Linked DNA regions of Coturnix japonica. The protein of the gene in region 6 interacts with the protein of the main gene of each other region in a pairwise test. Links are inferred from orthologs where the notes say so. Each region holds a gene or a part of one and is shown on either strand. Other genes may lie near its edges.

Region 1 (3,946 bases), on a different chromosome or scaffold from region 6:
TGAAGCTGCAGAGAGCTTTCCCTCGGGAACCACGGGGGGCTGGATGGGCTCAGGGACACGAGTGCTCCTCCTGCCAACAGAGCAGGCACTGAGCCCATGCTGACAGGACACAGAGGGCAGCTGCATTGGGCAGTGCACCCCATGGCTCTGTCCCTGCTCAGTGACACCCAAGCTAAAGATTCCCTACTCTACACCATCCCAGAAGCCTCACCCCATGGTGCCTGCAGACTGTGTGGTTATCTTCATCCCTTTCCGAGACAGTGTGCCTGTCCTGGACAGCTGAGTGCTGTGATCCTGCAGGCAGAAGAAAACACATACACATGACAAGTTCATTGCACTCCATGCCTACCATGCCCTTATAGTGCCCCAAAGGCCTTTGCTGAACCCTTCTCAAAAGGATGGGGGGTGGTGAGGGGCTGCCCCAGCTAATAGAAGTAGATATTGGTGCTGATAGAAGCAGATATTGGTGCTGCTGTCTGGCATTGCCACCGTGGGAACTGCAGCCCCAGCACTGTCACTTCCCCTTCGACTCCACAGCGGTTTCACACTGTGCACGTGGCTCTGATGCTGCTGAAAACCCACAGACGCCTTCCGGTGAGGGGGCAGCTTACAGGGGCAGTTTCAGTGCTGGAACAGCACTGTGGGTGTAATGCAACTCAGCCTTAGCCAAGCAACTCTGGGACTGTGTGCCTTTATGGCATTGTCAGTGTCCCATTCCCCTCCTGCACCAAGATGAGCCCCACTGGGACAAGTCCTGGAGGAAGCATAGACAGACCCCCTTTCTCCATCCAGGAGGGGTTTGTACCCCCACCAGATCACATAAAGCCCATCTAAACCCCCATCTACCCACGGGACACCCTCCAGGCTGACCTTTATGCCGTGACCGATGTCATCCAGGATGCTGAAGTTGAGGGGTTTCCTGTAGTAGGGCTCTAGGGAGGGTGGGTTGGGGGGGGATGTGATCTTCTGGTGGGATGGGAACCTCTTACTGACGGTCAAAGCGCCGATCTCCCGACGAGATACTTTCTCCTTGTGCATGTCAACGCTCTGTGGAGGCAGCAGGAAAGGCTCTAAGGAGCCCTCAAATATCAGGAAGAAAGTGAGTGGCTGCAGGGCTCTGAGTCATTGTCCCTAGTTCTCCAAGGGGACGAGGCCAGTGTCCACCGAGGGGAGATAACAGCATCTGAGCCTATGTGACTGCTGCAGGGTAGCTCCTTGGGGGCTTCCCCAGAGGCTGCCATGGTCCCCAAACACCCAGACTAAGACAAGCCCTTAAGAACAGTTTCCCACCCCTCGGTAGTCTTGTCCTTTAGCTTCTTGGGTGACCAAGGTGCTGCAGGGGCTGACAGGCCATTAAAACCACAAGAAAAGTTGGTCTCCAGTCCCTGTAAGCTGCTCCTTTCTCAGGGCTGAAACCCCACAGCAGTACAGACCCATGGCAGTGGCTGAGGTCAGACCCACCTGGGCTACACAGCTGACATTGGCCTCCAGCTTTTGCAGCTCGGCTGCCTGCAGGTCCAGCAGCTGCAGGAAGGTGGTGGCCAGGCTGCTGACCTGATAAGCCACACTGGCCAAGGACTGTGTGCTGAAAGCCATCGTCTCCTCCAGAGCCTTCCTCTTGTCGCTTGCCTGGAGGGTGAAACACAGCTGTGATGAGCTGGGATGGCTGAGAGCACAAAGTGCCGCCGCCGTCATACCCAAACCAGGGTCACAAGGGAGCAAAGGGGCTTCCTTCTGCTTTCCAAATGCATCACAGTTCCTCCAGCTCAGGCAGTGGGACTCAGCGATGCTCAGCACCATCAGGGTGCAGTGGGAGAAGCACAGAGGGGATCAGGAGGGTCTGTGCTGTTGGGACTGTTCCAGTCCCGCTGCCAGCAGCTGGGGAAGCAGTCTCAGTTCTCTGAGCTGTTTTGCATGCTTCCCCTTCAGAGATGCAGCTGGGGGGCTGTGAACCGACCAGAAGCTTCAGCATGAGAAAACAACCCAGCCCTGGATGATGCTTAACTGAGGCAGCAGCAATGCCCGGCCATGGGACAGAGTGCAGATTCACAGCCCCAGATGGGGTGAGGGAACAACCATCACCACTCCCTTGGGTCTGCCATGGGGGAATGAGGCTACCAAGGTGGGATCCTTAAAGCACCCAAGAGACCCCCGGTCAGGGCACTGTTCCCAGCCAATGGGGCCAAACCAACCCTTTGCCATCCCCTCAGCAGGTCACAGGGACAGGGGGGAGTAGGACAGCACAGAGCCCATTGCCCACCCTATGCTGGGAAGGAGTGAGCACTGTCAGCACCTCCCAGACCCTGAGCTGCCATCCCTGCTCCCCTCCAGCACCAAAAAACCCCAGAAGACCCCCCCCACAATGTCCCACACATAACCCTGATGGCTGAGCAGAGGGGAAACTGAGGCACGAGAGAAGCTCTCAATGCTGGGCAGGAAATGAATGGGAACAGCAAAGCCTTCACCCCCACACCATCCTCCCCATCACCACCACAGACCCCCCAACCCATCCCAGCCCCACACACATCCCTACACCCCACCTGCAGGTAGTTGCTCTCGCAATACTCAGCCACACGCTGCAGGTTGTTGTGGTTATCACGCAGTCCCTGCCGTGCTGCGGGGACATCGCAGGGCTGCAGCGGCTCCGCCATAGCGCTGGGACCGGAGCCCACTTCCTCCCCAGTCTTTAAGGCGCCGAGTTTTGAAGCTCGCGGTGATGCTGACGTATTGCTTTGCTGATGCTCCGTGGGTTGTCACCTCTCCCAGCTTCCCTTGGTGGAGGTTTGGAGGCTGCAGGTAGAACCTGAAAGCTGTTGGAGTGCTGCAAGGCCGCCTACAACTGCTCTACACATCCATACTCACCCCCTCTAATTCAACCAGCCCCATCAAGGGAGTATGGCTTCTTCATGAGGCTGAAGGCAGCATGGCCATGGGTAGGGCACCATTTCCAGGTCAGTGCTGCAGTTTGGCTCCTGACAGCCCAAATTTGGTAATTTGGAGCTTGCACCTCCATCCTCTGATGGAGCCTGGGGGGCAGGGGGCCAGGCCTGGCTCTGTTGCACCCAGCAAGGGCAATTCCCTTCCCCTTGCCTTTATGGGACTGGCAGGAGGAGATCTAGCTCCAGAGTGATGCTTCCATTGCCAGCTCATCTTCTCCAGACAGCCCCGTGCCTGCACCTCACCCAGCTCAGGCTGGGTGCAGCCATCAGTTTCTGCTTAGCTCTGTTTGCTGGGACAACACGTCCCTCCTTGTGCTTTGCTAATGGTTTTTCCCATCCGCACAGGACAGTGCAAGAGGCCACAGCCAAGGGCAGGAAACTCTCACTTCCCAGCACTGGGAGGGTCCCTCATGCTGGGAATCCCCCTCTACCTCCTCCTCCTTATGCTTCCTTGGGGCCTCCTGAGTTCTGTCCTCAGCTTTAGGGCTTCACATGGGCAAAGCAAGAGCCAAATGTCCATAATTGCCCACAGCAATTAAGGTGAGGATGAGGGAAATGATGAACCAGCTCTGCTTCTCACCCCCTTAATGGCCAAGAGCCACCCCAGCTGCCTCCTGCCCCCCCCATTCCATCCCATAGGAGAAAGGGATGCTCCCTTTGCTCCCCCAGCCAGGCCCCAGGCCTACATAGGCTCAAAAACACACAGTGTGAGCTCAGGGGCTGCTGAGTGCCCCACAAAGCTCATCTCCACCCTTGCCCTTCCTCCCTCACCCTCCCCTATGGCCCCACCACTGATTACCCCAAGCTTTGAGGCTAATGCCCAACACCTGACCAGCTTATTCTTCTGAGTCTATTATCAGCTTAGGGACCAAAGACATCTGCTCCTTGCTACAGGCTGGGAGATCCAAAGGAGTCTTCAAACAGAACAGTGCAGACACAGAGGACGGCAGCTCGATGGGTTTCTGAACATCTCCAGCAGTGAGAGGGGCAGCCCCTCATCCATACAG
Region 2 (3,500 bases), about 90 Mb from region 6:
TCTCCCAATCACAGTAAGGAGGAAGCAATTAAAATGAATACTTGCACTCACTATACTTTTTAACTCTGACTATTAGCTATCCTATACATTGATTCTAAAGTAACAAAATTTACTCATACAAAAAATTACCCACAAGTTTTGCAGTGTTTTATTAGCCAGTCTCTGAATCATATAGAATATCTGAAGAAATGCATTAGAGACAAAAGCTGAGACTGTCAAATTGACCCACTGCTTGATATTTCTAAAACAGTGTTAGTTCCTCTGGTAGAAAGAAAACGCAGAATAACAAGCAATACTATCCTCTTAAGTGCAAGAAGTGGAACAAGATCCTATAGCCAGTTTAGCATAAGAGGAAATGTCTAAAAATTCATACCTCCCTGAGTTTTGAGTATTATTTTTCGTGTGCCTCCCATAGAATGGAATATGTAATTTTTCTCTTATGGACATGTTATTTCCAGTGAAACGCCTATGATATATAATTAATGACAATTTAAATAGTTATGGATGATAGTCTTAACATTTTTATTGAAAATAGTGGACAGAAGTTATTCTGTCCTATCCCCATTCCTTCCCTCCCCAGCCATTCTGTAAACTGCAGACAACTTAGATTTTGTCCATCAAAAAACACAAAGCACCTTATTATATCTCAGGCAATTAAGCCAAATGCTTGAATTTCTACAACTTCTATAGGAACACAGTATGTACAATTGTTGGGGTTTTTTTCAACTTTGTGCTCACATGTAAAAGGAAGAATCAAAGTGCCTTTGCAGGAAACACTTTAGGCAAGAGAAGACTCTCTCAACAATATCAGTAAAATCACAAATGAAAAATTCACACGTAACTGCGTAGAAGGTATCTCTCTTAAAATTAGACCCCAAAAGTTCTAAGGAATGGTGAAAGTATGTTGAAAATGAAGACAACAGCGGCATGACAGATGCTTGAAAGCACAAATGCAAAAGCTGTTTCAAACAAGATGTGAAACGCTTCACTAGTCAAGTCAGAGGGACTCAAAAACCCCGACCCAGACTGGATTAACTACAGAAAAGGCCACTGCTACAAACACAGAAAGACTGTACAAAATTACAAGTAGCTTAACAGGAAAGCAAAACAAAAGTCTTGCAATAAATTCCCACTCAGCTTTTGAGACAAAAGCTAACTTTTAATTGAACCCTTAAGAAAAAAGGAACAAGCCGAACTGCTAGAAGATGAAAATGACATGAGCTTGGTGTGGCACCATCCTCAACACATGCACATATTCAAAGAGAACACCAGAGCATTTTACAATGACAGCTTGCAAAGCAAGATGGCAAAGGGACAAGTGAGAATTTCAAGTTATGACAGCAGCACAACCAGAAGCTACTGGCAGGAAGTGATATAAGTTAGCATGTAGAACACACAGAATGATGATACTGTGAACAATGTACACAAACAGTTCAAAGCCGAAAAGGGAAAGCAAGATTACTAGCAATGCATTTTAAGGTTTTCTTACTGCTACAAACACACTTATGAGTTCATTCACTAAGAAGCGAACGGGCAAATCTCATGATTGCAGGGATCCCCTCCAGCTTTGCTGTTTTGTTTTGCTTTTTCCCCCTTGTTTACTTTTTCTAACATTTGCATTAAAAAGTTTTTAAAAAATCCTGTGTTTCCTACAAGGAATAAAGTCTGCCATACGGCATATAACACCAAAAATACTCACCTTCCAGGTGGCCCATAGTCACCTCTGTCATATGGTGGAGGTCGGCCATATGGATCTGTTGGAGGTGGGCCACGGCTGTCTGAAGTAGGTATGCCACTATTGGCAGGTGGGGGGAAGAAAGCTGGGTTCACATGTGGTGCAGGAGGTGGAGCACCTGGAGGTGGCCCGGGGAGATGTGGAGGAGGAGCGAGAGTCAGGGGTGGCCCGAGAGGGCCGGGTGGACGAGGGGGAAATGGACCCGGAGGTGGAGGTGGACCCTGCTGAGGTGGTGGCGGACCCGGTGGCGGCCCATAGCCTGGAACTGGAGGTGGAGGGCCTGGAGGAAGTGGCCCAAGAGGAGGCTGACCAAAAGGCTGTCCTGGAAACAGAACTGGTGGTGGTGGGCGGTCACCACGATTAGGAGGTCCAGCTAAAGGAGGTGGGAGGACCTGACCAGGAGGTGGGGGGCCTGGTGGGCCTGGTGGACCAGGAGGGCCTAAGGGTGGACGTGGGGGAGTTTGTCCAGCTACAAAAAAATAAATAAATAAAAAGTTAATAAACATGAAGAAATAAAAGAGTCACAAAAATAATTAAGATCTTGTCCTTTTTTTTTTTTTTTTTTCCTCAGACAAAAAGCCTTCACTGAACAATTCACATCTTGCACAACACATGCAGAGCTCCACTTTTGGGTCCAGTATCTTAGATATATTTATAACTGGTTATCTATACTGAAAGAGAACATTAACCTGAAAACAGAACCAACCACTTCAAGTTTTTGGTAATTCTATGTGCCTGCTTACTGACCTTAATTTTTGTAATTCCCAAATAAGCATACTGCATTAATAAAAGAAAATAAAAATTAAACTGAAACCCTCCACATTCAGTATTTTACCTGGGAACGGTGGTGGTGGCCCTCCTGGCCCTGCTGGTCCAGGGAATCTGTCTCCACCTGGAATGGCACCTGGGAAACGGCCTCGCCCTCTATTACTAGGTGGAAATGCTGCTCTTGAGCTTCCTCCTGGAGGACCAGCTTTACCTTCCCCAGACATCTGGCCAGACTGTGTGGCTGCAGTGGAAAAATGTCATTATGTAAATCAAAATAGTTTAAAGCTTTTCAATTCTTCTAAAGTTTTATGTAGCACTAAAGCATCACCTTGATCCCCAGTACCACAAAGGAAAAAACACTTTGCTAAGATTCAGCAGCATTTCAGTATCCCCACACCACAAGAATGGAAGTGTAGAAACTCAGTCCATTAAGTTAGTCTAATCTGCCTACAAATGCTGCACCTCTACTTCTCCAATCTTAAGAAGAGTCTTACAAAGCTGCATAATAAGCACTTCCAGCAATTTCTCCTATTAAAACCACAGACATAAAAACACATTGAATTAACTGTTTTGTTTTCAGTTTTTAAGGGGATCTTCTACTTAATTTTTTTAAAACAAAGCTGCAACTTCATTCACTTAATACTTATATAGAAATCTTTAACTGTGCAGAAATTATCAGATACTGAGAGAAGAACTGCAGGACAACTTCCGGAATAAACTTCCAATCTTTCCAAGATGGCACAAGAGAGAGACTTACTTTTCCTTGACTGCATTTCAAACTGACTCAGAAATTGTTTATTACAAGGAGTCACAACAGGATTCTGCCCATGCAGTTCTCTTTTAGGCAACAAATCCATCAACTTTTTGGAGGATGCTTCCGATCCCACACCCACAAGGGCAAACCTGAAAGGAAGAAAAAAAAACAGTTACACTGCAGTTTTTTTGTTTCCTGGATATCCTGATGCCTCATGAATAAACACTTAACACAGTGAGCAAA
Region 3 (3,500 bases), on a different chromosome or scaffold from region 6:
GTAGAATTGCACAGAGGGTCTATCCTATTTTTTCCCTCCTGCATTATCAGGAATAGCAATGAGAGTGTGGAAAAGGCATTTACACATCGCCAGTCCTTGGCTTTGTCTTTCTGCAAGGGTATTTGTGGCTGATGTAATGGATCTCTCCAGAAGAGTGCCTAAATACGCGCTCTGTTTGCAGCCTCTGTGGAGCTATTGAGAGTAATGTAAAGCCGTAGTGAGTGTGTGGGATTGTGCTGGGAAGAAAGGAGGAGTAAATGCTTGACAGGTCTACACGACATGTGCTGTGTGCTGCTGAACGCAGCAATTAAACAAGGGCTGCTCCTCCTGTCACGGGGAGGGGATGGAGCGGGTGTGAGCCCTGCTTTGTTCTTCTAGGAAACTGCCTATTAATAATCCATCCTCCTGAGAAAACTTCCCAGAGCGGTGAGAGAGATGTAAGGGCAGATTTACGCACGCAAGGAAGAAGGTTTCATAACAGAATGTCTTTATTGCCTGCCTCCTTTGATTGCTGTGAAATCTCTCCTTGCAGATCCCGCCGCAGCCCCGACGTGCTGCTCCCATCACCCCCCCACCTCCAGAGAAACGCAAGAACGCACAGATGGCCGCACCCCTGAAAAGTAAGGGCGACTTCTGGGGTGAGAAACCTTTGTGGTCCTGCTGCTGCAAGGGCCCTGGAAGCCTGGCACAGCCATCCAGGTATGGCAGGCGTCCTCCTGCCTGAGAATGCAGCACAAGGCTTGCTGCCTGCTGGCCTGGCTTGCTTGGCCAACATGGGAGCAGTGGGGCTGTGTCTCTCCTGCAGCACCGTGGAGCTTTTCCAGGCAGGCAAAGGGACTTTATCAGGGCTGTGCTAAGTGCACTGCTTCACCAGGGGGAGCTCACTGGCAGTGCTCCTGGGACAGGCCCAGGTCTGCTTTTGGCTCCCAGTCCATCATGCGCTTTATTTGTACAGTGGTCAGATGAGATTTCCACCGAATCAGCTGGTCTCTGTATGAAGCAGAAATAATGCCAAGGGCACAGCTGTGTGTGCTCTGCCTACAGGGCCTCTGAGCAGAGCTGGACCACAGGGCCAGTGCAGGAGCTTCCCCACCCTCAGCACAGAGGGACTGGAGGGGAAACAAGCAGCGATGCTCTGACTTACTGCCAACATGCCCACCTGCTCTTCTGTGCTTAGATGGATATATGTGGTTGATGACACATGGCCCATGTCAAACTCACCCATGTTCCCCTGTGGGAAGTAGGATGGATCTGTTGAGTTGTATATAGTTGATGGAAACCTGGGGCTGGCACCGGCTCCCTTAATGATACTGAGTCATTTTCACTGTAGTAGTGGGAATTTGCAAAGGTCAGTTCCCTTGAACTCATTATCTTGATTTAATGAAACAGGGTGAAGAGGAAGGAGAAAGAGGGATGCTGAGCCCCCATGGGAGGGAGGGGGCCTTTCTGCACAGCTCATGCTCCTCCTCCCAGTGGCCTCCAGAAACAAAGGGCAGCAGGAAATTGGGGTTGGCTGTAGGATGTATTGCTCAGTGGGAGACACATGGCAGGTGCTCTGCAGGGCTGTCCTGCCAGTCACTCACTTGGTGCTGGGTAAAGATGTGTAGCGCGAAGGTAAGGGGAGCTTCCTGGGGACAAGCAGTTATATCAAAAACAAACAAAAGACCTACCAACAAACCCGAACCAGACTCTGCGAGGCTGCAGGAACACTTGAACAGAGTGAAGCTGCCTTCCCTAAGGGCTGGGCTCCCTGTCACTTGTGCTCCACTAGAGCCACCGTTAGCTGTTCTCTCCAAGCCCTGGGTGAAGACATCCCAATGTCTGCCCAAGTAAATGTCCATTTTCACAGTCAGGGAAGGGCTCAGTTATGTTTCTGCCCCCAAAAGATACTGGGCGTAGTTTGGTACAAGTGTATATTAGCCTGGATGCTGGGAAAGAAGAATCTCAATGTCTCTTTGGTTGGCTGTAGTGGATTTTTTTTCCTAGGAAGGTCAGACAGAGTGAGGCATTGCTGGAGAAGCACGTAGAAGTAGAGCAGAAAATGCATTGGCTTGTGAGAGGAGCGTGTGCCAGTGGGGCTGTGGGGTTGTGAGCGAATGCTCAGGAGTGCTGAGAAGGAGGAACTACAGATGCATGTCAGCCAAATATTTCCCTGCTGTCGGTGCTGGCTGCGGTGTGCAGTCAGTGCCACAGGGAGAGGTCTGGGCAGGAGGGAGATGCTGACAGCTGCCTGTGCCAGCACACATCCTGCAGGCACCGGTATTCAAAGTGATGGCTCATATCCTGAGCGCAGGAAAAAGGCCCTTGCTATGCCATGGGGAGAAGGCTTCTTCTGTCCCTTAGTCCTGTTTCTTCTTCCCTCCCGTTCCGGGTGTGAAACACTAAGCCCTTTGAAGGATATTCATCTCAATAGAGCAGTTTTCCCCCTTCTAAAGAGGTGATTGTGTGGGAATGCTCCGGAGGGAACTCGGTACAATTTTGCTTTGAGATAAGTGAGGCAGGAAGAGGAGTTAAGCTGCTCTGGTGCATGCACAATGAGCCTTTTAATGGACTGCGCTGTAGCAATTTGTTTGTTCTTTTTCCCTTTGATGCTGTTGCTAAGGCATTTTAATTGTTCTCTTTCAGATGCCGTGGAAATTATCCCTGGGTCAGCTTCCAGTGCCTCCTCGGTGAGCACCACGTCCCTGGACACCCTGTACACCCCTTCCTCTGCTTCAGATGCAGCTCTGCCCACGGCTGCCTCCAGCCCTGCCACCACACCTCCACCCGTCCCCAGCCGCAGTGTGCACACCACCATCACACGCAACCTGGACACCGGCCCCGCAGCCCATTCCCGCTACACATCTTCCCCAAAGGATGGAGCCAGCAAATCCCCTCAGACCAAACGAGCTGCCCCAGCACCACCATCTGAAGTGGGGGCCCCGAGGTCCCATGCTGCAGATGGGGAGAAGACTCTGCAGGGCAAGAAAGCTGCAGCAGCGACCCCCACAAACCTGGAATCATTCAGCTCTCTCTGTCTCGAAGATAAGAAGGCTGCTGTGGTGGAGCCAGTACCTCCAGAACCCAGTGGGCTGGTGGCATCTGTCCCCAAGACCATAGGTGCCGAACTGATTGAGTTGGTCCGCAGAAACACCCACCTCAGCTATGAGCTGTCACGTGTGGCCATTGGGGTGGTCATCGGCCACATCCAGACCTTGGTCCCGGCAACCAGCGGCATCATGGAGCAGATCCTCATCTCCGTAGTGGAGAGTAAGGTAATACATGCAGAGCTTTGCTGACTGGCTGGTGCCAAGGGTTGGGGTAGTGCAGTGAGGACAATAGAAGTTCCTCCACTGGAGGAGTATTATGATAACCTTGTTCTAAACCTTGTACCAAACGATCACATTCTCCTCCTTCCTCCATTACAGGCACTCAAGGGGGGAAATGAAGGAATGCTTCCTGCAGCAGTTGTTAAAATAGCAAAGTGCATCTGGGTTGCCCTATGCCTTAGTTGGGGAGAT
Region 4 (4,230 bases), about 51 Mb from region 6:
AAGTGAAACGATTTCTGAACCAAGATAACCTGTGCATAGACAAAGTCTTTTTGCTTTACAATGCTTCTAATTAAAGTGCAGTATTCTGGTTGTTCCGTGCTGCTGTGATACAAATATAACAGCAGCCATAGCAGGGGCTGTTGGAGCAATCCATGGGCTGATGGTGGGCCAGGCCTTAGGCCAACCACTGCCAGTAACTTCCCATCACCATTCTCCATATCACTGTCATGGGGTTGGATAAATGTGTTTGGTCAGATATCTTTCAGAGAGGGCACCCTTAGGAGTACTTTGGACCAGTCTCTCACCTGGCTTGTTTTCAAACTTGTTTTCAAAACTATCAGGGTGCATCCTTGTTTCTTAAGAGGTTTTCTTATTCAGAGTACAGAAAGAGTCACTCTTCGGGACTCGGTGTGGGATGGAAAGGGAGCTGTGCTCAGTTCTAACTTCAGCTCTGTGTGCTTCCTTTGCAGCTATGGAATCTGAGCTCAGCTGTGCAGTTTTCCTCGCTGCAGTGATCACGCACGACTCCCACGTACCTGGGGGTTCCCATATCTAGGGGGAAGTAACTGAGCATGTGGTTCAGCAACAGGTTAAGCTGATTGAAATCAGCCCTGCTGCACTCCAACCTTCCCTGCCACTCCTTGTGTTCTCACTTCCTCTATTTGTGTATTTCAGTCGGATTCATTAGCTCCTGAACAAACTTATCAGGGGAACTGATAAACGCTGATACAGGAGGGAAGGGCAAGGCTGTGCAATGCTGTTGTATACGAGCGTGCTGTGACTCTGTAAGATCAGGTCTGATGTGGTGACCTGCATTATTTGCCTCCCATGTATCTACCTGTTCCACTTAGCGTTTGACATCTCTGTCTAGACAGCCTCACCGTTTCCTTTTCCTGAATGCCTGTGATCAAACCCCACCTCTTCTCTCCCAGCAGAGCACAAGCGCGGTGCTGAACACTCCTGCTAACTACGGGGACAAGTTTCCAGCGAGCTTTGCATCGTGGGGGAGGACAAACCCCATCTCTTGCAGTATAAGGTAACATCCCTGCGATACGCACATCCTGCTGTGCAGCACAGCAGCAGGGCAGAGCCAGTTTCCCTTCTTTCCTTTTTTGGATCTGCGAGCCACACGGTCCCTAATGGAGCCGGTTCTGAGATACCGAGAACAGAAACCAAGTCACTACAGCCGGCCATCCCCTCCCCTCGGCCTTATCACCATAATCGCGAACCATCCTTCAGTCCCGCACCAACCCCGTGCTCTATAAGCACCGGGCACCGAACAACCAGCCCATCCCAAAGCTCCAACACAACACACCGGCTCCAAACTTCTCCCCCAACCTTGGGCTGCCCACCTTGGTGGAGGGGGCGGACTCCTGGACCCCTCCGGAGCCAATGATAGCGGGGAGGGTGCGGGGAGGCGGCGCCGGGCGGCCGCGGGGAGCGGGCAGGGCGGAGAGCGGGCGGCACCTTGCAGCGGGCGGAAGGTGAGTGCTGCTGGGCCGGGGATTTCCTCCGCGATCTTTTCTTTTTTCTTTTTGTAACTGGAAAGTTTGTAAAGAGGATGAGCGGCTGGGTTCTTATTTTTCTTCTCTCTTTCTCTCTCTCTTTTTTTTTTTTCCCTTCCCCTTTCCATTCAATTTAAGAAAGAGGTTTGGGGGGGGGGGGGGGGAACGGCATTGAGATCGCCTCCCTCCTGCTTTCCCAGCTCATTCATTTAACAAAGGGTGTTGTCTGTAGCCTCGGGCTGTGCGATCGAAAGCCGCTTGGGGTCTCCGGACGGAGGTTGAGGTGGGGGAGGTCGGGGCTCAGCCCGCACCTTGTGCTGGCTGCGGCTGGAGGGGCTGGGGGGTGAACACAAAGAGTTGAGGAGCCGGCCCATTGCTGGGTAATGCAGCCCCGGGCTTTGTGTGTGGCTGTATCGCAGGGATGCGGACGTGGGAGCGTGTTTCTCCTTTATCCCCCCGTTCCATGTGTGCGTGTATGAGATCTGTTGTTATTCAAGATCTTAAAAGCGAAGCTGAACTTAAGATCGTGGCACGACTCGGATAGGAAGGGACCTCACTAGGTCTACGGTCGAGCCCCTCCGGTTCGGATCGGGGAGCGAACGGCAGCGAGGAGACCTCGCGAGTTGGGTGGCACCTCTGGGTGCTCCTGGGAGCCCGAAGGAAAGGGAGCACAGCAGGGCGGGGGGGAGCAACTCTCGTCCCTTCCACAGTGCTTGGAAACCCGCATCTCTCCCGTGCCTGCAATCCATGCTCTCTTGCTGCTTTTGTTATCCAGAGGGTTTAAAATCCACGATTAGTGGGAAGAGCTGGCTCCATCCGCGTGTGTGTCACGGTGCATCTGCTCCTGCTGGGCATTGCTTGGTTCTTAACTCAGACATTACCTCCAGCAGCAAGATTTATAAATAAATAGATGTCAAGACCTGGCTCTTTGCTTGTTACCAGCTGTAAAGCATGTACTTTAGGTGGTGATTAAGTACACTGTGTGCGTATGTAAGAACAACTGTAGAAGCTGTTTAGTTCTAGCCAAGCTTTTTAAAGTGAAAGCAGACATTGTAGCTGGTGAAATGGCTGTGCTGGGCACGGGAGGGAGAGTGTTTGTTCTCCTTGCTTGCAGTTACTCTTTGTACAGTGACTCACCGGTACCTTTCACTGAACCACCTCCCCATTCTCCTTACCTGGAGTTTTCCTGGTGTTGCCTGGTGCATCAGGGAACATCATCATATCTGCTGCTCTAAGAGCCTTCCTGTTGTGTGGGTGCTTTCGTCTTGCTCATGTATAAGGCTTGAAGAACTCCTCCGTGTGGAACAGCTCATGGTGTGTGTCCACTGGGTGGTTAGACATTACTTTTCCCTCTGTGTTTTCTGTGGATTAGGCAGAAAAAGGGCTATAAGAAAGAAGGGGAGAGACTCTTTAACAGTCTGTGTTGTGATCTCTCAAGGGGAAATGGTTCCAAACTAAAAGAGGGGAGATTTAGATTGGATATAAGGTTGCCCAGAGAGGTGGCGGTGCCCCATCCCTGCAGGCAGTCATGGTCAGGCTGGATGGGCTCTGAGCACCTGGTGGAGCTGTGGGTGCCCCCATGCATTGCAGGGGAGTTGGATCAGATGGCCCTTAGAGAGCCCTTCCAACTCAAATGATCCTATGGTTTTGTGATAAAATATATTGCTTGCCTATTGCTTTTCTGGCTGGTTTGCTTGCACTGGAAATGCAAACTTATTCTTTTGCCCCAGAGATCTGCTGATTTTTGTGGATCCTTTCCCAGTTGTGTGCAGAACTTTGACTGCAAGTGCATGAATTTCACCTGGTTTCTTAAGTGGTTTTGTTTAACTTAAGACACCAGTGAGCTTCAGTGTGGCTTCAGTCTGTTCTGTACCTGTCTCACTTCATAGGTGTGGATAGTTTCATTATTTTGTAACCATAGCTGTGATGGCCCAGTTCCATTACATTCTTCTGGGTGTATTGAAACACCTATAAAAATAGACTTTTCTGGTTAGCAAAACAGAAACGATGCTGAGCTCCACCCTTCGAGTGATCTGGGTTTACAGTCCATCCTGTCAACAGCTCATGATAACAGAAGTAAATAGACTTCGTAAAGGGTCTGAGAAACAACCATGCTTTATGAGGAAGTATAGGAAAACAAACTGAGACCAAGCATCTGTAAACATCAGCCGTCTGTCTTTAAGTCTTGGCCGATTGTTTTCCCTTTGATGCATACAAAAATCTCTCTTGTTGGCTTTTTACCTCTTTGGGAAGGGGAAATACTATGTGTCAGAAATGTATTGTGCCTTTTTCTGTGCTTGCCCAAGAGCTGTGCTTGTGCTTTCAACCTCTGTAAGGAACTGGGAAGAATGTAAATGTGTTTTGCTTGATGGCAAGGGGCTTGATGGCAATATGGACTTGCGCATCTCTCACCTGGGGGGAGGTGCTTTGAAGCCCCATTCCCAGTGGGAGCAGGGCTGGGGCTGGCAGCAGATGCTCAGTGATGCAGCACGTAAGGCACAGAGATCAATTCTTCCCTCCTGAGCAAAAGGCATGTGATGCTCTTTAGGAATAGGTAGCTTGAAACAGCCCAGCACTATTTATGCTAACCAGACTTTTATTCATTAGAATTGAAAAGGCTCTTACAGGACATATAATTTATCATCATTTGGGAGGTAGTGGAGTCACCGTCCCTGAAGGTGTTCAAGAAACGTGTAGATGTTGTACTGAGGGACGTGGTTTAGTG
Region 5 (4,103 bases), on a different chromosome or scaffold from region 6:
AGGGAGTGATTTTTAATCTAATGAGGGGCGATTATGGATTACAAATATAGAAATGCAGCGACTAACAACAGTTCTTGCTGCCATACATTAGGATGGCATTAAGTAGCATCAGAGCTTAGGATTAATAAAGGGGTGGGGTTAAATGGTTGGTCCAAAATTCTGCCTTTTCCTGAAGAAAAACCAAAGACATTGGAGCTACCCAGCTGCTGTCAGAAGGTGCCTATTTTCAGTTTGTGAAGTTCCTCATTGTGTGAATGGACAGAACGCTTTCTTCCTCGGAGAGAGAAGGGGGCAATCAGCAGTTAACTACTTTGGTCTTCTGAAAGTCTCAGAAAGTGAGGTGTGTAGCACAGTGCTATCAATGTAAGCACAATCGCAACTTGATGTTCCCACCCGTGTCCACTAAATCCAATGGAAGGCTGCAGTCATTTCAGGATACAATCTGTGACATTCCTCAGTGTGTTTTTTTGTATGCATCACAAAATTAAATAAACAGAAAGCAATACGGATACTTCCCTGTCAGTGAAAGGGACCCATTTCCTTTTTTTCCCTTCAGCTTTAAGTACACTGACAAATACAATAAATCCCTACACCGACAGGCATTTTTCAGTAGTAACAGGGACTCAAATTGTAGCACTCCCCATCTGCCGCACAAAAATCTGACAATTCCTTTTATTTCATAAAGCGTAAGGAAGATGCAATGATGGAATTCACCACCGCTGTTTGACAAAGTACAGCTTTCATTCCTGGAAGACTTTTCAGCCCGGCTACATGAGATAAAACTCAACTAATCCTATCTTGAATGACAAAATTAATTTATTAATGTAATAATGGTATCCTTTGGGGTCATTTTCCTAAACGGTTCCAATCGTCCACCACTCTACTGAGCCAACAACATTTTGGCTGCAAGAGGTCACGGTTTCGATTGGGAACTCCACAGCTCTGTGGAAAAGCCTTTCACTTTCTCTTCCTTGATAATATACAATTCGCTACGCCCGCTCAGGAGCTCTCAGAGCACCGAGTCCTTTCCTTCCCAAGTGCCCACTGCCCCCTCGCTGCATCCCTGACGGCCCTTTGGTTTGTGTGTGCTATCTTCACATCGCCTGCACCGCACGCCTTCGGTCAGAGCTGCCCATGCCAGGCTCAGCCGGCTTAAGCAGAGATTATGTCAAGGCTTTTGCGCGCTCAGAGCTCCTGAATCACCCTCCTAAAATAACTGCGGCTCTATATGTTTTTCTGCTCGTCTTTAAGCAAGAGTTGTGGTGTTGTGAAAAGTCAGACAGCTCCTTCCTTCCCTCCGCCCCCGGTACTAGCAACTTTCTAAAGCTTTCAATCACCCGTTTGGCCTACGGACCCCAGTTTTCTCCCCTTCCACGCCGAGGACCGAGCTGCACGCACGGCCAGATCCTACGCACGGAGCGCAAAAGCTTCGGACCGTCCCGTGCAGCCCCACGCTGCGATCTCCCTCTTCAGCGCCGCGATGCCGCAGCCCGCGGTCAGGGCGGAGGCAAGGAGCGTGTCCCGTCCCCAGCTTCGAAGCAGAGGTGGCGGATCGGCAAGAGGGAGGGGGACGAGGGGCCAGATGCTAAAATCCATTCCGAAACTACGAAAGCTCTCGCCCTGTCGGATGGAAACTTTCCTCCCGCCACCGCCACCTTCACTACTTCATGCGCTATCACGTGCTGGATTTTTCCTTTTTATTTCTCCCCCCCCCGCGGCCCTAATAAAGCTGCCCTTAATGACGGACATCCCGAGAACGCGGCCGAGGGCAGCCCGGTGGCAGCCCCGCTGCAAACGGAGCAGGGCCGAGCCGAGACAGCCGGGGCCCTGCAGCGCAGCTCCCCGACACCCTCCGCCCGGGGTTCCCTCCCCGCAGGGAAAGCCGCCGTTACCTGAGCTGTCGCTTTTCCTCTTCCCAGATCTCTTCTCCGTTTCCACAGGGGACAGAGCCTGCCTGCCATAGTCCCCCGGCGCACACGCTGCCCCCGTAGGGGTGGTAGTGCCCAGGCTGGAGGAGTTCGAACACAGCACGGGGGGGCTGCTGCCCAGCTCCGGGGGTCCTCCTGAGTCCGGCTGGAGGCAGAGGCTGTGCCTGGCCGCGGCGGGAGGAGACGACATCTGAGGGATGTGCCAGTTCGTCTGCAAAGCCTGGTGCTGCTGTTGCTGGTGGTGGTGGTGGTGATGATGGTGGTGATGGTGGTGCCCCCTATGATGCTGGCTGGCAAACATGCCCTCCTCATTGGGGTATCCCGTTATTATGCAAGAGGAAGAAGAAGAAGACAGATCGGGGTAGGACATGTGGTCGGATCTTCCATGCAGGGCAAGAGAAGACTGGGAGAAAGGGTGCAAGCTCTGCGCGGTGGCATGGGGGCTGCGCAGGCAGCCAAAGAGTGTGTGATCCATGGCATGCAAGTCTCAGGTTCCAGGCAGGAGAGTTTAGGAAGGATCCAACTTCACCACCCTTTGTCAACTTTCACTGTAAACAGATCGGGGCTGGGATTTTTTTTTCCAAAACGGCAACGACCGACTTTGCAGCAGGCGACTGAGCTCAGATAATCCAGGTCTTTAGCCCTAGCGGCCAGTCTCCGCTGCATAAACACTCGGACCTAGATGAGCCTTTCTCAGAGCCGCTCGGATGTCAAGAAGTGGGAGAGGTTGAAGCCAATAGAAGGTGGTCCCAGAGAACTGCTTGAAGGGGGAAACGGCTCCGAGAGGTTATAAATACAGTAGTGTGTAATGTGAGCTGGGGGCTGGCTTAGCGGCACAGCACTGACCACATGCAAACTCCCTCCAAAACGCCAGCGCCGTCCCCGCGCCGAGCGGCTCCGGCAGCGGGCGGCAGCGCTGCGCGCCCCGGGGGGGGGGGGGGGGGGGGGGGGGGTGGCCGGGGGCGGCCCGGAGGGGAGCAGCGGCTTCTCCTCCCCCTCGACGCGAGGAGCGCGTCCGCCGCTCCGCCGGGGCTGTCCGCTCCCCCCTCCGGACGGATGCGGGGCGAGGCGGGGGGCGTCTGGGCCCCATGGGGCCATCCCCGCACCGCACCTCTCCCAGAAGGGAGCGCGATAAAGGACACCCAGCGGGATGTGCACAGGGGCGAAGTGTGGGAGAAATCAAATACACCTGGAGGGCGCGGGGCTGCAGCCCCACCTGAGCTCCCAGCGTACCTGGGCACGGCACGGCCCGGCTGTGCGAGGCTGTTCTGCCTAGCGCAGCCCCGCAGTCACCTCCGCGCACACCTCGCCCTTAAGGACAGGAGGGACCACCAGTGCCTGTGGGTCTACAACTAAACTCCCGGCGCTCAGCGAGCCGCCACGTGTTTTCGAACACAGACAAGTCGCCCCTTTTGCCCCTCCAAAAGCGCAGTTTACCCAACTTCTCTGCTTCTCCATTTGCTACATTGCAGCCTTTATAGTGGGACAACCTGGAGAGGGACAGCCCGGGCTGCGCGTGTCGTGGGATTAGCAGTAGCGCCGAGGAAGGCTGTATACGGGTTTATATTAAGATAAAGCGCTTACAGAACGCTGCCCAAAGAGATGCCCGCTGCCGAAACGCTGAGTTCCTTCTCCCTTTCTCTTCGCTCTACCTTCCTCGTCCTCCCCGCAAACCAAACTTGAAGTGAAAAGGAAATAAATAAATAAATAAATAAAAAATAAAAGGAAAAAGAAAAAGCACCGCGCTCTGTCATTTCAGTCTAAACTCTTGGGTCCATGTGCGAAAGATAAAATGAATTCGAATTGCCATTGGAAAAAATCAGGAATTGTATGAGATTTGCAAGAGCTGGTTTCTTAAACGGAAATTGAGTCCTATTTTGTGGGAAATTAGTTTTGCAGACTTTCTGGGGGAAAAAAAAAAAAAAAAAATCTAAAACTTTTGTTCAGCAGCTGCTCCGCTTTTCCTTGCAGTTTCAGGCTGAGCTGGAACCTGCAGCAGCCTTTCGACGGTAAGACTTTCCCCCCTTTTCTGCCATCTAATGCTTTTTAAGTATTGTCTCTAGATTTAACTGTAATAATGAGGTCTTTAAAAAGGGAGCGGCGTCCAAAGCAGAAGTCGCTGCCTCCGTGCACTGTTCAAAACTTGATATTTCTTCAGAATAAAGGAAATATACA
Region 6 (3,988 bases):
CATGTCAGCAGCCACACACACACACACAGAAGAAGGAAAAAAAAAAAAAAAAGAAAATTGAAAAAAAAATAAATAGCAAAGCCTGGAAACAAAGCAGATGCTGCTGACCTTGTCCCTCTTCTTTAGCACACAGTACATGAGAGGTGACACATAAGAGCGCAAACACCTTTAACGCTACCACACAGCTAGGAAAGAAACTAGGGAGAAAACAGGAGGAAGGAGAGAAAAGGAATGAGTTCCCTTTTCAGCACAGAAACAAGGCAAAGGCCGGAGCTTTGAACTGATTATATATTTAACAATAAGGACTAACATAAGGGACTGTCCAGACAACCACGGACTAACTCTGCTCCTGTTTTTGGAGGAACACAGCAAAAGAGGTAACTGTAACAGCAATTGGAAACACTATCTTGCAGAAGTAAAAGGCTCATAGGGGCAGCTAACCATACACTGACAGAAAAACTGCGAGGGGAGCTGATGGTATAATGAGACCAGATCTGCTTCATGGCCTACATACAGATACTAGCTAATTACAACTGTGATCTTAGCAGTACAGGTGCCTCCTATGTCTGCATTTATGCACTGCTCCCGAAAGCAACACTGCCTGGCTAAGTTTCAAGGAGAAAGTCAGATATGAGGACATGGCTGCTGATGCTGACCAGGGTGGGACACCCAACTTCAACTCCAGAGCTGAAAAATACCAGTATCTGTGAGTCACAAAGTGATTTCGCTCCAGCTCTAGTCCTACGAACACACACACAGTACCACAAACACCTCCTCTGCGGTACTGATGCTGACAAGCAGGGGCAGGAACGCATTCAGAAAGAAGCCCTGCATGAGCTCTGCCCTTTTGAATGCCTCCATGCCCGGCTCCAGATGACATTAGCCATGCACAGGCTGAACCATGGAGGTTTGTTTTTATAAAGGGCAACGGCGTGTTCCATGTGAGGAACCCGCACAGAACGTGCGGCTGCCACAGCACTTTCTCAGGAGCACACACATCACCGCACACAAAAGGAACGGAGTTCGCTCAAGTTTTGAGCTAACAAAAGAACACGGCAACGTTCAGTCAATTCACAGAATAACTCTGATGCTCACAACGAGCCATAAAGCCGTAAAAATAAACCCCGAGCCAGCAGAACCGAGGAGGCAAACTCCACAGAGGACTGGCAGCTCCCCGTGCTCGGGCAGCTTCCTACACAGGGCACGGCGAGGAGAGGAAGAGCCAATTCCCACCCCAACCCCCCGAGACGCGCTTCCTGGGCACGCAACGTGTCATCCCAACTTTTTTTTTTTTTTTCCCCTTTCCTTTTCTTTCCTTTTTTTTGTTGTTTAAAGCTCGATGCCGTTTAAGCGGCCACTGCTCGACAAAACCCTCGGCAGCCGCTTACCAGAATATTCCCCGCGGCCCCCGGGTCAGCCCGTGCCCGCACTGCCCCGCACACCGCCCCCACCGCAAAACTTTCCGGCCGTGCCCCGGCTGCGAGGGACCCCTCCGCCTCCCCGGGCCAACTTCTCCTTTGTGCCGCTCTCCCCTCGCTGACACAAAGCGGCGGCTGTCAGGAGCCCGCCGGGCCCCTTCCCTCACCACCCCCCGCCGCCACCTGCCCCCTCCCCGGGGAGCCCCCGCCCAGGTGACCCCCCTCCGCCCTGCCCCCACCTCCTGTCCCCTACGGCCGACACAAGTTTGCGGCGGCCCCGTCCCGCCCTCCCACGGGGTGCGCTCACCTCGGCCCGGCCCGGCCGGTGGGAGCGGGGCGGAGCGGCGCGGGGAGGCTCCCAGCCCGGGCGGGCTCCGCTTCTTTGTCTCCTCGGCGGCGGTACCCGCTCGCTCGCTCCCCCCCCCTCCGCTTCCCTCTTCCCTTCCACAAGCGGATGCGGGCTGCGTGCTCCGAGAGGGGCCGGCTCCCCCCCTTCCTCTTCCTCCTCCGGACGCGTCCAAGGCCCCGGCCCTCGGCGGCTCCGCTCCTCGCCTCCCTCAGCCGGCGGCGGCCCCGGCCCCTCCTCCGCCCGATCGACCGCCCGGCCCCCACCTCGCACAGCCCCCGCCCCCGCCCTGCCCTTCCTGCCGCTGCCGCTGCCGGGATCGCGCGGGAGGAGCTCCCCGGGCTCCCCCTCGCGCTCCGGGAGTGCCGGCGCTTCCTCCGCCCGCCCCCGCCCTTCCTTCCCCCACCTCCAGCAGCAGGAAGGCCCGGCCCGGTTGGGGGCTGGGGGTGCCTCCCAGATCTCCGGGGAAAGTGCTCAAAGAAACGGGGGGAACCCGCTTGTGGTGCTAGTGCTGGGGCTGTTACCTGCTGTCCGTGTGGAGAAGGCATCCGGCGTGGAAACTGTCCCCTTCAGTCCCTTGCTGCGTGCCTTGGGCAGGTGTGAGCCATAGGTGCATCTCAGCACCCCCCTCCCTCGGCAGCCTTTGTGTTGAAGTTACAGAGCTGTTGGCTTTCTGCCCATAGCAGAAAGCTTCTGCCACAAGATTGTGCCCTTCTGGAAAACTGCTGTGCCACTCCATGCACAGAATCACAGAATAGTTTGGGTTGGAGGGGCCTTTAAGATCATCTAGTCCCAACCCCCTTCTGTAGGCAGGGACACCTCCCAGTAGACCAGGTTGCTCAAAGTCCCATCCAGCCTGGCCTAGAATGCTTCCAGGGAGAAGCTTCCACAACTTTGCCAGGCATGAGTGCTGAAAGCCAGTATTTCCCACAAGGTCTTCAAGATGACTTACCAAAAGCTGATGTTGAGGGTAAAATCAATGGTGGGATGAAGGACTGACTCAACCTGCGGCCTCATCAAGTAGTGCTGTGGGACCCAGTTCCAGCCGCAGCCCTGTGTCACAGAAGAATAGAATAACTTGGGTCAGAAGGGAGCTCACAGACCACCCAACCCCACCCAGTGCCATGGGCAGGGCTGCCCCCCACCAGCTCAAGCTGCCCAGCACCCCATCCAACCTGGCCTTGAGCATCTCCAGGGATGAGGCACCACAGCTATTCTGAGTGGCAATGCCAGCACCTCGCCATCCCCTGTGTAAAGAATTTCCTTCTAGCATCTAACCTAAATCTCCCCTCTTCTAGCTTAAAACCATTCCCACTTGCCTAGTCACTGTTAAACTGCAAAAAGTTGATCTGCCTCCTGTTGGTAAGCTCCCTTCAAATACTGAAAGGCTGCAATGAAATCTCCCTGGAGCCTGGTCCACACTGAACAAGCCCAGCTCCCTCAACCTTTCTTTGTAAGAGAGGTGCTCCAGCCCTCTGACAACATTCATGCCCCTCCTCTGGGCCCATTCCAACAGCTCCACATCCCTCCTGTGCTGAGGGCCCCAGACCTGGACATGATACTACAGATGAGGCCCCACAAGGGCAGAATACTTGTGCTAACCCACTATGTGTCTTTGTGCCACTGGCAGATTGGGAACTGGAAGGGTTTGTCCTTGTGGAGGCAATCAGGGAGTTCAAAAAGGAAAAATCAGTGCTGCAAGAGGAAGTCACTTTGAGACACTGTAAAACAATTGACTTTTCAACACAAACCTCTCTTAATGAAGAGATTTGAGCTCTACCAGTGCTGGTTTAGGCTTTAGCTCATTATTCATTATTAAATGCACAAACCCAAAGCAAACTTAGCAGTATCAACAAAATTCTGTCTTGTTTCCCCAACTAACATGGAACTTAATGGAGAGGAACTTCGTACCAACTTTCAACCAGTTACAAAAATACATATCCTGAGATTTTGCTGTGTTTTGGTTTGAAATAGTTTAGAAGTCTGTGAATAATTCCCTCTTCTCCTTGCAAACTTCTACCTGTTCTTTCAGCATTTAATTGATGGTTTCGGAAGCCTCAGTTGCCTTTCACATGCCTGCTAGATAAAACTGAAAGGAAAATGTGGCCTCTTGTTTCTTCCACGAAAGACTAAGTGTGTACCTCAGGGAGGAACGGAAAGCCCCTTTCTTTTCAGCTCCTTTCGTGCTCACATTTGACTTTGATTTGGAGGAGTTTTAATCTCC
Region 7 (4,067 bases), on a different chromosome or scaffold from region 6:
CATTCCTAAGTTTAGAGTAGGAAAACAATTTTTGCTTACCAAACGTCAGCAATATTAACAATATTGCAGGGCATGATTGATTATTTATTACATAGAAAATCATCCAAGTACAGTTCTGTTGCAGTTTGCAATGATAAAATACAACCTTTGCACTCATTTCCAGCTGTAACTCCCTCTTCGGTGCTTAGCTGTATATAATGATATAATTATATAAAACTGATGAAATTATGATCTAGAAAACCAGAAATACTTAAGATCTCTAAGTGAGGCTGAAGTCCCACAAACTAAACGACACCGAAAAAGAACAAGATAAAAAGCTTTTCCTACTTGTTGAAATGCATGTGAAATTAAAAGGGATACACTGTATCAGTCAGAATAAAAGGAAGTCAGTGTCGGGAGACTAAAAGCATCCTAAAGGTTAGACTGCATCATGGCTTTTCACAGCCTCTCTTTGAGAATGAATCCTCTTCGGACCACGGTCAGGAGTAGGGAGGTGACAATCTCTGAGTTTAGAATAGTTGGAATAGACAGAGTTAGAATAAACAGTTCATGGCAACACTGGAAGATTCTGGTTAGCAGTGAAATAGCTACAGCACACTGCAGGAAGTCAGCAGATCAGAGCTGGGTAAGATCACATCTGCCCACTTAACACTTCACACTTCTGAATCTGATAGGTTCAATCAACCACTGCTTCACTTCACAAGCCAAAATGTTTAACCTTTTTGATTTACGGACCGTAAGTAGTTTTATGTTGTACTTGTCTGCCTTGTAAAGCAAATTCCAGATCTCTACCAATACATAGCTTTTCTGTGCCGCTTTTTTATACCCCATTCTATGCAGGCCATGCCTTCTAGGGGTCCACAGACCAACAACAGGTAAAAATAACTTACAGACAAATCTTTTCCACCATCTTAGAAGACTGAATGTCATGGCAAGTAAGTCAATTTTCATCTGCTAGGTCAAGCCTGCCTCAAATTCTGACAAAATGAAGAAGTGATACATAATCTGTTATCTACATTATCATCTATTTGCTCTGGCATGTCTGCATACAGAAGATAAAAGCAAACAACAGCGTCCAATTCCTCAATACAGGAGGATGCATTCCCTATGAAAAAAAACCATCCTTATGATATCAATCAAACTCAACCCAATATGCCTTAAAAATCTAATTCTTAAATGAGCGATCTTCCAAGGGACGTTAGAAGCTGCTGGTGGGACACTGACACAAGTGACTTTCATATTCTGGTGTCTACAGTGTGTGTATTTAAGTCACATATGAGGAAATGCGTTCTCCTCTTAGCTGGAATGCATGACAAAGCAACAGTGATCACATGCAATAATTATTAACAGGCTACTGACACCTCTCACATTGACCAGAATAGAAATCTTCCACTTCAGTGTGCTGCAAACAAGCAAGAGGAAACAGAACCAAACTAGACACATTTTTTCCCTATTGCTGGAGGTTCTTCACATGAGATTTGCATTACGATAAGTGAATTTACAGTCATTCTACTTTTAGGAGTCTTTGTGAAACCATCTCTCTTTAAGGACAAAAGCAGTTTTCCCCACAGGTCTCCAGAGGTCCCGTGTAGCCGATTTGACATCACAAGGAGATACGCGTCAGTGAAACGGTGCCGTTACTTCACTCTGTGAGAACGGCACATTTTCCCTTTTTTAGTGAGGCTGCAGACACTTCCCCGCAAAGGGGGAACTTGCAGAATGGGCACTAGTGAACTTACACAATTTGGGTTAACCCCATCTCCCTCTGCAGTTTGCCTGTGTACTTTAAGCAGTTTTATCTGCGCACGTCAGCTAAGACGGACAGCAGCTCAGCACACCCTGTGACCGGTGGCACTGCGGCAAGAGGCAGCAGATTTGTACCCCAAAGAGAGAGCGTGCAAACGGTGGGGAATAAAGCAACATTTAGGAAGAGCTGCCTTCTCTACAGAACATCGCAGGACACCACCGAGGCGGTGCGCGGCAGGGCCAGGTTACTCGGCTGAACACTCAGTAGCACAGCTCTGCCAGCGACTACAAGCCAAGCGGAGCAAGGCGGGGTAGAAACTGCAGTGCCCATCACCTGCTGTTAGCTGCCTCCGAGCGAGAGCAGCGCCGCCTGCGCGACCCCAGCGCTCCCGGAGCCATTCTCCTTTCCTCTTCCCCTCCTGCCGGCCGGCAGCACCGCCCTACCTGCGGGTACGGGCACCTCCGCGCTCCGCTGCCGCCCCGCGCAGCAGCACCTGCCGCTTCCCCTGCCGTTCCCGACCGACTCCCGCCGCTTCCCCCCGGTCCCCACCGTGCTGCCGCAGCACCTACCGGAGGCCGTCATGGTCCGGGGCTGTTGCAGCGCACGGCGCCGTGTGTCCCGCGGTCACTTCCTCGGCCCGTCCGGAGCCCCGCTCCGCAGCCCGCCCCCCGCCGGGCAGCACCGCCCCCGGGGCCGCTCCGAGCGCAGCTCCAGCCCCGACGGCGGCAGGTCTTTGCTCGTGCTAACAGGGCACAGGCTGAGCCCCGGCCGTTCCTTCCTGCTCTAACAACGCTCGTTTTCACTTTCCAGCGCTTTTAAAACCCAGGTGCCGGAATGCTGCGGAGCTACCGTTCCAAAGCAAGCGTTTAGGACGACCGCTTATGTCTTCTCCGGGATCCCCTCGAATAGACAATTCGACAGTGTCTCTCTTCCTCCTTCCAGCTAAAGCTACTCCAGCTCAGTGAGGATTAGGAGGGATGGAAACCAAAGAGACTGATACAGCGGGAAGAGAGCAGGTGAACGTGGAGTGGTAATAACAAAGAGATGGTACAGTGCTTAAAGTCACACCTGTCAAACAGGAAAGGTGGAAAACGTAAGAGCCAGAGAGGACAAGTGATGAACATATGAACATACCTCGGTGCCCTTAGATTCACCAGTGCCCAAATGAATTCTGAGTACGTGCAATGGAATAAAGACCATCTGGGTGCTGGAGAAATGGGAAGCTACTGAATCCAACATTTATAAAGGACAGAAGTCCACCAGATGGAAGCTGGTCTAATTTTTGGATATCATGGAATAATACTCACATATTCAGAAACAGATAGAAGTAAAAATAGATGGACAAACATGTATATGCTCCATGATTACCGTTATTTCTCTTGCAAATCCATTTAATCTCAAAGTAATATATATATATATCTCAAAATCATCCCTCTGGTGTCAGATTAGGATTTAAACATGCACTTTGAAACCAGCTTTTACATCATTTCTCCCTTGAAAGCTTTGCAGGATCATATAAACAGCTAACAATGCCATCTTCTTGCTCAATGAGAATCCATGGGATTTCTCCATGTACATCAGTGTCACCTGGGATGCCATTTGATTCCATCAATGTAGAACACAGGAAATCCCTTTAGCCTGTCAAATGAAATTAATGTGCCTCCCCAAAGTAACTGTCTGTGCACCATTTCAGCACTTTACAACAACCTCCTCCTGAAAAACCAGATTACAACAGGACGCTTTAGACACACTAGGAACCAAAAAGTGCCAGAAGATACACTTTAGTGTATGGAAAAAGAATTTGTGGGTTGGGAAAAAGCAAAAGAAGGGCCTCATTGTGCTACTGAGGAAGAGCCAGGTCGTCTCTCTGCAAGTCAGGCTCTCTGTCTTCATTTAAGGCTGCAGCTCCATGCACAGCAGCTTGTGCAAAGGAAAACAGATTTCATTACTTCAATTCAAGCTAAAGCTGAGCCTTGCTGAGCCTGTTCTTCATTAGAAATCAGCGTGATCTGCACCTTCCACACAGGAACAGCACTACTTAACCCACCCTACAGTATAAAAACCATTTTGCCACGGACTTCCAGAGCAAGGGTGGAAAATTCATCACGTTTTCTGTTATTCCCTCCATTTCCCCTATGGCTGATAACCCAATGACCTTTTGCTTCCAGTCCTAGGATTCCTCTTTTGCCCGCCACCACATTTCCAATACAGCACTGACTAAAGCAGCACTTGACAGTGAGGAAGGCGTGTCACTTGCTTTTCCTTGCTCTAACATCTGTCCCACACAATTGCCCACAGAGGTCAGACCACATAGCAGGGT

Evidence for each region.
Region 1: the proteins of NCK2 (region 6) and ABI3 interact in binary tests that used the Homo sapiens proteins (3 or more experiments, as listed by UniProt). The two-hybrid records come from large-scale screens. The link is inferred for Coturnix japonica from reciprocal best matches to the Homo sapiens genes NCK2 and ABI3.
Region 2: the proteins of NCK2 (region 6) and CPSF6 interact in binary tests that used the Homo sapiens proteins (3 or more experiments, as listed by UniProt). The two-hybrid records come from large-scale screens. The link is inferred for Coturnix japonica from reciprocal best matches to the Homo sapiens genes NCK2 and CPSF6.
Region 3: the proteins of NCK2 (region 6) and NCKIPSD interact in binary tests that used the Homo sapiens proteins (3 or more experiments, as listed by UniProt). The two-hybrid records come from large-scale screens. The link is inferred for Coturnix japonica from reciprocal best matches to the Homo sapiens genes NCK2 and NCKIPSD.
Region 4: the proteins of NCK2 (region 6) and PAK1 interact in binary tests that used the Homo sapiens proteins (3 or more experiments, as listed by UniProt). The link is inferred for Coturnix japonica from reciprocal best matches to the Homo sapiens genes NCK2 and PAK1.
Region 5: the proteins of NCK2 (region 6) and MEOX2 interact in binary tests that used the Homo sapiens proteins (3 or more experiments, as listed by UniProt). The two-hybrid records come from large-scale screens. The link is inferred for Coturnix japonica from reciprocal best matches to the Homo sapiens genes NCK2 and MEOX2.
Region 7: the proteins of NCK2 (region 6) and PIK3AP1 interact in binary tests that used the Homo sapiens proteins (3 or more experiments, as listed by UniProt). The two-hybrid records come from large-scale screens. The link is inferred for Coturnix japonica from reciprocal best matches to the Homo sapiens genes NCK2 and PIK3AP1.

The regions. Positions count from the first base shown.
Region 1 is NC_029542.1:3,004,010-3,007,955, forward strand, and holds the start of ABI3 (ABI gene family member 3), read right to left. Parts: upstream 2,801-3,946; 5' UTR 2,652-2,800; coding exon 2,541-2,651; intron 1,630-2,540; coding exon 1,462-1,629; intron 1,048-1,461; coding exon 871-1,047; intron 295-870; coding exon 212-294; intron 71-211; coding exon 1-70. UniProt on the Homo sapiens protein: May inhibit tumor metastasis. In vitro, reduces cell motility.
Region 2 is NC_029516.1:32,114,225-32,117,724, reverse strand, and holds part of CPSF6 (cleavage and polyadenylation specificity factor subunit 6), read right to left. Parts: intron 3,407-3,500; coding exon 3,261-3,406; intron 2,745-3,260; coding exon 2,571-2,744; intron 2,205-2,570; coding exon 1,700-2,204; intron 467-1,699; coding exon 374-466; intron 1-373. UniProt on the Homo sapiens protein: Component of the cleavage factor Im (CFIm) complex that functions as an activator of the pre-mRNA 3'-end cleavage and polyadenylation processing required for the maturation of pre-mRNA into functional mRNAs.
Region 3 is NC_029527.1:6,669,894-6,673,393, forward strand, and holds part of NCKIPSD (NCK-interacting protein with SH3 domain), read left to right. Parts: intron 1-532; coding exon 533-620; intron 621-2,625; coding exon 2,626-3,254; intron 3,255-3,500. UniProt on the Homo sapiens protein: Has an important role in stress fiber formation induced by active diaphanous protein homolog 1 (DRF1). Induces microspike formation, in vivo. In vitro, stimulates N-WASP-induced ARP2/3 complex activation in the absence of CDC42.
Region 4 is NC_029516.1:172,810,024-172,814,253, forward strand, and holds the start of PAK1 (serine/threonine-protein kinase PAK 1), read left to right. Parts: upstream 1-1,430; 5' UTR 1,431-1,484; intron 1,485-4,230. UniProt on the Homo sapiens protein: Protein kinase involved in intracellular signaling pathways downstream of integrins and receptor-type kinases that plays an important role in cytoskeleton dynamics, in cell adhesion, migration, proliferation, apoptosis, mitosis, and in vesicle-mediated transport processes.
Region 5 is NC_029517.1:25,764,175-25,768,277, forward strand, and holds the start of MEOX2 (homeobox protein MOX-2), read right to left. Parts: upstream 2,801-4,103; 5' UTR 2,404-2,800; coding exon 1,893-2,403; intron 1-1,892. UniProt on the Homo sapiens protein: Mesodermal transcription factor that plays a key role in somitogenesis and somitogenesis and limb muscle differentiation. Required during limb development for normal appendicular muscle formation and for the normal regulation of myogenic genes.
Region 6 is NC_029516.1:122,011,203-122,015,190, reverse strand, and holds the start of NCK2 (cytoplasmic protein NCK2), read right to left. Parts: upstream 2,801-3,988; 5' UTR 2,717-2,800; intron 2,004-2,716; exon of another isoform or gene 1,726-2,003; intron 1-1,725. UniProt on the Homo sapiens protein: Adapter protein which associates with tyrosine-phosphorylated growth factor receptors or their cellular substrates. Maintains low levels of EIF2S1 phosphorylation by promoting its dephosphorylation by PP1.
Region 7 is NC_029521.1:14,289,526-14,293,592, forward strand, and holds the start of PIK3AP1 (phosphoinositide 3-kinase adapter protein 1), read right to left. Parts: upstream 2,801-4,067; 5' UTR 2,330-2,800; coding exon 2,317-2,329; intron 1-2,316. UniProt on the Homo sapiens protein: Signaling adapter that contributes to B-cell development by linking B-cell receptor (BCR) signaling to the phosphoinositide 3-kinase (PI3K)-Akt signaling pathway.